Linked DNA regions of Arabidopsis thaliana. The protein of the gene in region 1 interacts with the protein of each later gene in a pairwise test. Each region holds a gene or a part of one and is shown in the gene's direction. Other genes may lie near its edges.

Region 1 (3,990 bases):
TGTTTGGAATTGGAGTCGATCAAATATAAACAAATCGTTTCTCCCTAAACAAAGATGCTAGATTGCTAGAGATTAAGATGACGATTTGATTAATCATCGTCACTCATATTTAATTGGTTTCCTTAACTAAATTTATCTAAACAAAGATGCTAGAGCTTTTGTTTGCGTCATCTCATCCTAATCCTCATATCTTTTAATCCTATCCTTTTTGTCCCATGCCCTATATAGTAAGTATATAAAATTGGCTTGGTGATGTATATGAACATATGATGAATCATGTGCCATTTGAAATATAGTATAATACATGTACACTTGTGTAAAATAGCTTTTGGGGTCTTTTAATTTGTTAGAATAGCATTTTTAGATTGTCCATTAACAAGGTAGTTTCTTGAAAAATTTTAAAAGATATTCATGCGCCACTTAATTATAACGGTTTAATGAACAATTATTTGTGGCAATAGCGAAACAAAATCATGAAATTAACAAGAATAAACAGCTAATCATGAACTTGTTTTTTCTCCTCTTTCCCACTTTGTGCTGGAACGTTCCTTCGCATCTTGTAGTAATCTCACAAAACCCATTTTCAAGAAACTTGTGTCCAGTCTGAATTGAGCGTGTGGAGTTTTTTGGACAAATGTAGTAAACAAAGATTTAATCACCCAATTAGGGAATAATAATGACACCATTAGATAAGAACATGCGTAATTAGTGACATCTAATTATTGTTTAATCAGAAATCCGCCGTGGCGCGTGGGTGTATGCCCTCCACAATCCTTATCCCTAATGACTTTTTATGTGAAAATGACACGTCATTCAGAAGCAAAAAAATTGGACCCCCCAAGCCTTGTAGCATGCCACGTTTCTTCCAAAATTAAGACCAAGAATGGTCTTCACACTAGTTTTTATGTTATACAAGTTCTTTAGTACTTCTCCTTTGGATTCTTTTTAATTACTAGTTTGTTTTATGAAAAACGTATGTTATTGATTATTGAGATATCAGTATTATTATATATGCAGTATAAAGTTATTGATGTGTATATTTTGTCATGCAAACTATATCGTGGAGAAAATAATGTTGCTTATGACTTTTGATAGTTGGGCTTACATTTGGATAATGGATAGGGTAGACAAAGATAGGAGGAAAGCAATAATAGCGAAATGAAGAACGAATATTTGGGGAAATAGGACAAATGAATATACTTCTCTTTGAAATGGAGATTCACCTAAATTATTAATACTAAAGCCATGCAATGCATCCAAACAAATCAGTGGTCAAGCACACTCAATTATATGTCCACGAAGACCTTTAGAATCTTCACAACCAAAAGCTATTTTCTACGCTACCTGATAATTCTGACTCAATTCTTCTTCATAAAACGTATAATGAAGCTTTATGAATGATTAATTATAGACACAACCGGCCCTATCTGCGATTTCTACAAACAATAGAACACAAAACTTTAAAAGTTACTACAAAATACCGAATTGACTATATATATCATATTATCAGTATAAACATGATTAGATTGATCATGTTTATCAGTAATCATGAAAGACAAAGAGTGTGACTATTGTAAACCAAATTTTAGAATAAAATAAATAATTTATCATACTATATACAGTATTTTGTTAAGTATATGTCATCCAATAGTAACATTATCATTTAAACTGAAAAATGTTTCAGCTACTTTAAGGAATTATAGCTTTATTAAAAGTATATACTTTTAGGTCACGTGTTTAGAGGTGAAGAACAATAATAATTACTCAATAAGTTCACCAGTCACACTCCAACATCTTATTCAAATTCCTTTTAAAAGCTTTTTAACCGTGGCTGTTTGATGACCATTTGACAAAATTTAGTATATTAGAAAAAAACAATAGGATAGGGATAATATAGGACATTAGACTATTAGATGGACAAAATGAAGTATTATTTAATTTTCCAATGTACCAACCAATAAGAAAGAAGTGACGCACAGTAAACGACAAAAAGCTCAAGCATAAAAACCCAAACCTTCTCTGCTTTCTAAACATTTCAAGAACCTTGAGAACATCAAAAACTAACACAGAAAGAAAAAAAACAGTTCCTGTTCTATTAGATTGTTTTCTAAATTGTCTGAAAATCATGGAAGTAACTTCCCAATCTACCCTCCCTCCAGGGTTCAGATTTCATCCTACCGACGAAGAACTCATCGTTTACTATCTTCGAAACCAGACCATGTCTAAACCATGCCCTGTCTCCATCATCCCAGAAGTTGATATCTACAAATTCGACCCATGGCAATTACCCGGTTAGACCCGGTTTATCTCTCAATGATAACCTATTCTTCTAGATGTTCATGTTTAGAGCTACTTTCCTTATTTGCTTTGTTCGTTTTGTATTTACAGAGAAAACAGAGTTTGGAGAAAATGAGTGGTATTTCTTCAGCCCTAGAGAAAGAAAATATCCAAACGGAGTCAGACCAAACCGGGCAGCTGTTTCCGGTTATTGGAAAGCAACCGGTACAGACAAAGCCATTCACAGCGGTTCAAGTAACGTAGGTGTCAAGAAAGCTCTAGTCTTCTACAAAGGTAGACCTCCTAAAGGAATCAAAACTGACTGGATCATGCATGAGTATCGTCTCCATGATTCACGTAAAGCATCAACGAAACGTAACGGTTCCATGAGGGTACGTAAGCAGAGGAAACAAGTTTATAGCTCTTGTATATTTTATTACAACTTGTGAAAATGTTAATTTTCTTTATATTTTTGCAGTTAGATGAATGGGTACTGTGTAGGATATACAAGAAGAGAGGAGCAAGTAAGCTTCTGAATGAGCAAGAGGGTTTCATGGACGAAGTACTAATGGAGGATGAGACAAAAGTTGTAGTTAACGAAGCAGAGAGAAGAACTGAAGAAGAGATAATGATGATGACGTCGATGAAACTTCCAAGGACGTGTTCGCTGGCTCATTTGTTGGAAATGGATTACATGGGACCCGTCTCTCACATTGATAATTTTAGTCAGTTCGATCATCTTCATCAACCTGATTCGGAGTCTAGTTGGTTCGGGGACCTTCAGTTTAACCAAGACGAGATCTTAAACCATCATCGTCAAGCGATGTTTAAGTTTTAGTGATGGGGTCAGTAAAAAAGAAGAAGAAACAAGAAAAGATGTGCTTGAAAAGTTACTTTGGTAGATATTTGGTTAGTTTGGGTACATGAATGAAAATTGTAAAATATTATAACTAAAACCCAATGGGATTTTATATTTCTCCCATATGAATGTGAAATGAAAAACAATGTTTAATTAAAAATTAAGTTGTTTCAGCATGATAAGACGAAGTCACGAAGTTGATTTACATTACGAACTAATAAAACAAAAGACTTTTGTAACTTACGATGTTTTTAAAATGATAAAAAGAGAGATTGAGATTACGTTAACTTGGAATGAACAAGTCGATGACGTGTGGAGGAATCAACGCCAGATACAATGCATTTTGGGTACTTATCTTTGTCGTTTTATTAGATAACGAATGTTACTTGTCGTCATCATCGTACATTAAACCACATTTTGATTCAGTCTGCGCAGACTCAAACATTAGTGGATGTAACTTATCATAAATATGTGGACCCTTTTTGCTAATTTCAATTTTGACCGGTTTTGGTGTACCAAACACGGTTTAACAAAACCACGAAACCAAACTTGTTTAAGAAAGAATACACACCAAAGAAATGTTGCAAAGAAGGCATAATAAAAAAGAGTGTTAGTTGATTAGTAGATTGGTCACAAACTTTGTCTGATTGCTAAACAATATAAAAACTCTTATGAATTTATTTAGAACTTATTTTTCAGATTCAAAGAGGTAAAAAATGTCGTTGTGTTTGGTTATAGCTTGTATGGTAACATCATGGATCTTCTTACACCGATGGGGACAAAGAAACAAGAGTGGTCCAAAGACTTGGCCTTTGGTTGGAGCAGCGATCGAACAGTTAACTAATTTTGATCGA
Region 2 (4,289 bases), on another chromosome or scaffold:
TTTTTCAGTCATATTCTATGCATTAAATGTTAATAAAATCCGATCTTTCAAGGATTTCAAAAATTAGTATTGTTTGGGTTATTAGATTGTTCTTGCTATCAAGAAAACCAAAAAAAGGAACAAGCAATGTGTCTTTGTTCGACAGTGCACCACCAATCTGAAAATAATTAGACTACTTCTTGGGCAAAACATTTATTTAATTTTTCTATGCTCCTAGAAAGTAGAAACGGCAAATTACGTAGATAAGTAGAAACAAGTTTACCAGAAATCTCCAATGTAGTGCAAGTAGAATTATTCGTTGGGCTCTCGGAACTCGGAAGCTAATGCTAAAATAGTCCATCATGAATGTAGTGCATCTGTTTTACTAATGGTTTGTGCTAATTAATGTTGTTTATATATGATAGGCTTCCGCATAAGTGATGTTGCTTTTTATTTTATTTTTATTACTAAAAAGTTTAGGCCTAGGAACATACGTCCTCTCAAACTAGAGCATTTTATATGGTTTCTTTCCAAATGTCATTACAACTGGTGATTTCTAGGTTTTGTCTTATAGTCTTTAACAATTGAGCTATTAACACTCAGTAAGTAATGTTATTGACATAAAAGAAATGTTTATTTGTAATATGATCAAATTTAACGATATATTATCAACCAAATAGTTTTATAATAATTATTTGAATACTAATAAAAATAAATATAAATGACTGTATATGTCGATAATATTAAATTTACATGATCTTGATTTACTAATACTCAGTTAGATTGTAACTTTTAATATTTTCATCAGATTTGAATATCAACTTTTGCTGGATATTTTAACTTTTTAAGTAAAGTATTCATTATGGTGTTATTAATTAAAAGGATTATGTATCATTGGAATATTTTATTGTATCTAAAATAATAGTCATTTTATTTCCAAAGATTTCCAAAGGATATTATCCCATAACCACAAAACAATGGGTGGTATAGTTTATATAGAGATCGCAAGTAAAATCCATGTGCACTTTTAGCTTATTTAAGTTTTGAACGGCTCATTATATTCTTATTATTTTTGATATCCAATGATTAACTAAAATCAATGATAAGAAATTTGATTATAATACGTCTAAACAAAGAAAATGTAATTGAGCATGCTAATAAATATAGTCACAAAGCCGCACTTTCCGTCGAACAAATTATACGTTCATGTGTGGTTATACTTGAACCACATGATTGGAAGGTTCGGAAGACAAGCTTATTTTAATTTGATTATGCTCTTTAATAATGATTTAATGGACAACTGAACAAGCCCATTTTCCTAAAATTGCCCCATCATTTCCCGGAATTTCAGGACAATGTTGAGAGAAGATGGTCCAAATTGAAGTAAAATATATACTAAGATTGTTATCATTGATTATTTGTTGTACGTCTTAATTAGGATCAAACTTAGTTGGTCATAACTATTTTCACCGATGCTGACTTCGAAAGTTTTAAGAAATATAATTATATGATTAAATCATATAATAATGTTGACCAAATACGATTCACGGAATTTTTACCGCCCAATTTCTGTATACATGTGATGTGATACGTGAAGAGTTGACCAATGGAGGCAACGTCTAACAAATTGGTAGGCAATTAAAAAAGTACATTAATCATAGAAGTGATCAATAAAGACATTACTTAGACATGTTGAAAGAGGTACTCATGTTTTTATAATATCATTTTTATTTACTCGGAATCTTAATATATTTTCATTTTTATTTACTTAACATATTTTGGGCAAACGTATGTTCGTATTTTCAAAACCTAAGAGATGTAACAATATCATTCAACAATCAACGGTCATCACTCATCACCTATACTTTTCAGGTTATTGACATGAAAGAGTGAGATTTACTAAAACAACCTACCAACGTTTAGCAGAAGGCCACGTGTTGAGAACCCACATTGCAAGAAAATGTAGGGATTCCATGCACTACAGCAGATACACAATAGACCTTTGTATTTTAATAGTTAAAGAATTAGAAAAGTCAGACGACTAATCACGGGTTTAAACCGTTTTTTTTCTACCACTATAGTATAGTACTATAGTCTCTTTCTTCGTCCCTTATATTATCGACTCTATCTCCTTACCTCATTCTTGTTCCCCTCTTATCAAACTTCACCCCCAACAAGAGTTATCGAGAGAGAGAGAAAACATATTCTGATTTAAGACATATATAGACAGCAAGAAGAGATATGAACCTTAAGGAGACGGAGCTTTGTCTTGGCCTCCCCGGAGGCACTGAAACCGTTGAAAGTCCGGCCAAGTCGGGTGTTGGGAACAAGAGAGGCTTCTCCGAGACCGTTGATCTCAAACTTAATCTTCAATCTAACAAACAAGGACATGTGGATCTCAACACTAATGGAGCTCCCAAGGAGAAGACCTTCCTTAAAGACCCTTCTAAGCCTCCTGCTAAGTAAGTTCTATTTACACAATTCCTTAAGAAGAAGACCTTCCTTAAAAGGGAAGACTTTTTTTTTTTTTTTTTGAGATAAAAAGACTAATAGTTGATATAAAAGTTCTTAAAATACATATATATGAAAGATGTAAGGATGCATAAGTAATAACGTTATTGAATGTGTGTGTGTGTTGTTATATTCTATGCAGAGCACAAGTGGTGGGTTGGCCACCGGTGAGGAACTACCGGAAAAATGTTATGGCTAATCAGAAGAGCGGCGAAGCAGAGGAGGCAATGAGTAGTGGTGGAGGAACCGTCGCCTTTGTGAAGGTTTCCATGGATGGAGCTCCTTATCTTCGGAAGGTTGACCTCAAGATGTACACCAGCTACAAGGATCTCTCTGATGCCTTGGCCAAAATGTTCAGCTCCTTTACCATGGGTATGCATTTTCAGACATATAAGTCGAATTATCATTATTATTTTTGTGTTTACTTACAATTTTTTCTTTTTAACGATACAGTTTTTTCCATATACGACTAATTAATATGATAAGTTTTGGGATTTTGATTAATTAAGGGAGTTATGGAGCACAAGGGATGATAGATTTCATGAACGAGAGTAAAGTGATGGATCTGTTGAACAGTTCTGAGTATGTTCCAAGCTACGAGGACAAAGATGGTGACTGGATGCTCGTTGGTGATGTCCCCTGGCCGTGAGTTTCCTCATTCTTCTTGCTTTCATTATTATGACCAAAATTATTCTCTAAACAAAAAAAACAATATTCTCTAAAGCATTATTATTGATATTACTTATCAAAAAAATACACAAAATGATAATCAATATCCATGTGTTATAAACACGCACAGCCATCTTTTGGTTGGCATGGGACAGAACTCAGAGACAGAGAAGATGTTTATATATAAATACTAACTCATCAATATGTTACCTCATTTGTAGCTGGCACATATTCTTTCACTTTCAATAGATTTCTAAATTTAGTCACCAACCCAAATCCCGATTTCAGGATGTTTGTCGAGTCATGCAAACGTTTGCGCATAATGAAAGGATCCGAAGCAATTGGACTTGGTAAGTTTTCTTTTCTGTTCGTTTCTATAAGTGGCTCTTTTCTGTTTTTCCAATAATGCTCGTGTTTTTTTTTCAGCTCCAAGAGCAATGGAGAAGTTCAAGAACAGATCATGAACAAAAAAAAAAGAGGACAATATGCATTGATTTTTTTTTTTTGGTATTGTTATGATCATGTGTTTTTAATTTAAAATATTGGAAGTATATAGGAAAATATAATTGTTTACGAAAAAAATAACTTTAAATATGTCTTTTTTTTTTTTTTTGAAATTAGTCTGTGTTTTTGTTTTCATCTCTTAATTAGTAGAAATCATTTTTTAATATGTAATTGTGATAGTAAATCTATAGAGTTCGTATTTTTGCTATTTAAAATTTAAAATGCTAATACTATATATAATTTATGATAGGTAAATTTACGTTAAATAATTTATCTCCACTTTTCCTACTTTATTATTCTTTTCCTCTTTATTTTCTCATTTATTGGCTTTACAGATTATATTTGAAATTTGTAACTATTTTTGATGTATCTAAAAACATTTCACATAACAATTTCTTAAGAAAACTAAGAAAACTGTTGGTATATTTTTTGACTAAAATGGTTTCCAAAAAGATTTTGAAACGAACTAAAATCTTCATTACAAAACCAATTTTAAAACTACAAAACAAATATTCATGGTTTTAAGTTTCTTTTTTCTTTCCTAGTTACGTGGGAATACGTTATTAAATTCAGGACCCATGAGAGGCGTAGGGAACAAGAGCATGTGCATATTCATGGGTCTTTCA

What was found.
Region 2: the proteins of NAP (region 1) and IAA14 interact in a two-hybrid assay, tested with the Arabidopsis thaliana proteins (one study listed by BioGRID).

What each region holds. Positions count from the first base shown.
Region 1 is NC_003070.9:26,120,108-26,124,097, forward strand, and holds NAP (NAC-like, activated by AP3/PI), read left to right. Parts: upstream 1-1,972; 5' UTR 1,973-2,125; coding exon 2,126-2,291; intron 2,292-2,388; coding exon 2,389-2,669; intron 2,670-2,755; coding exon 2,756-3,115; 3' UTR 3,116-3,407; downstream 3,408-3,990. Other genes in the region: CYP704B1 (cytochrome P450, family 704, subfamily B, polypeptide 1), read left to right, coding at 3,853-3,990. UniProt on the Arabidopsis thaliana protein: Transcription activator that binds to, and transactivates the promoter of the abscisic aldehyde oxidase AAO3.
Region 2 is NC_003075.7:8,347,855-8,352,143, reverse strand, and holds IAA14 (indole-3-acetic acid inducible 14), read left to right. Parts: upstream 1-1,880; 5' UTR 1,881-2,220; coding exon 2,221-2,441; intron 2,442-2,632; coding exon 2,633-2,862; coding exon of another isoform or gene 2,863-2,963; intron 2,964-2,999; coding exon 3,000-3,135; coding exon of another isoform or gene 3,136-3,139; intron 3,140-3,447; coding exon 3,448-3,565; downstream 3,566-4,289. UniProt on the Arabidopsis thaliana protein: Aux/IAA proteins are short-lived transcriptional factors that function as repressors of early auxin response genes at low auxin concentrations.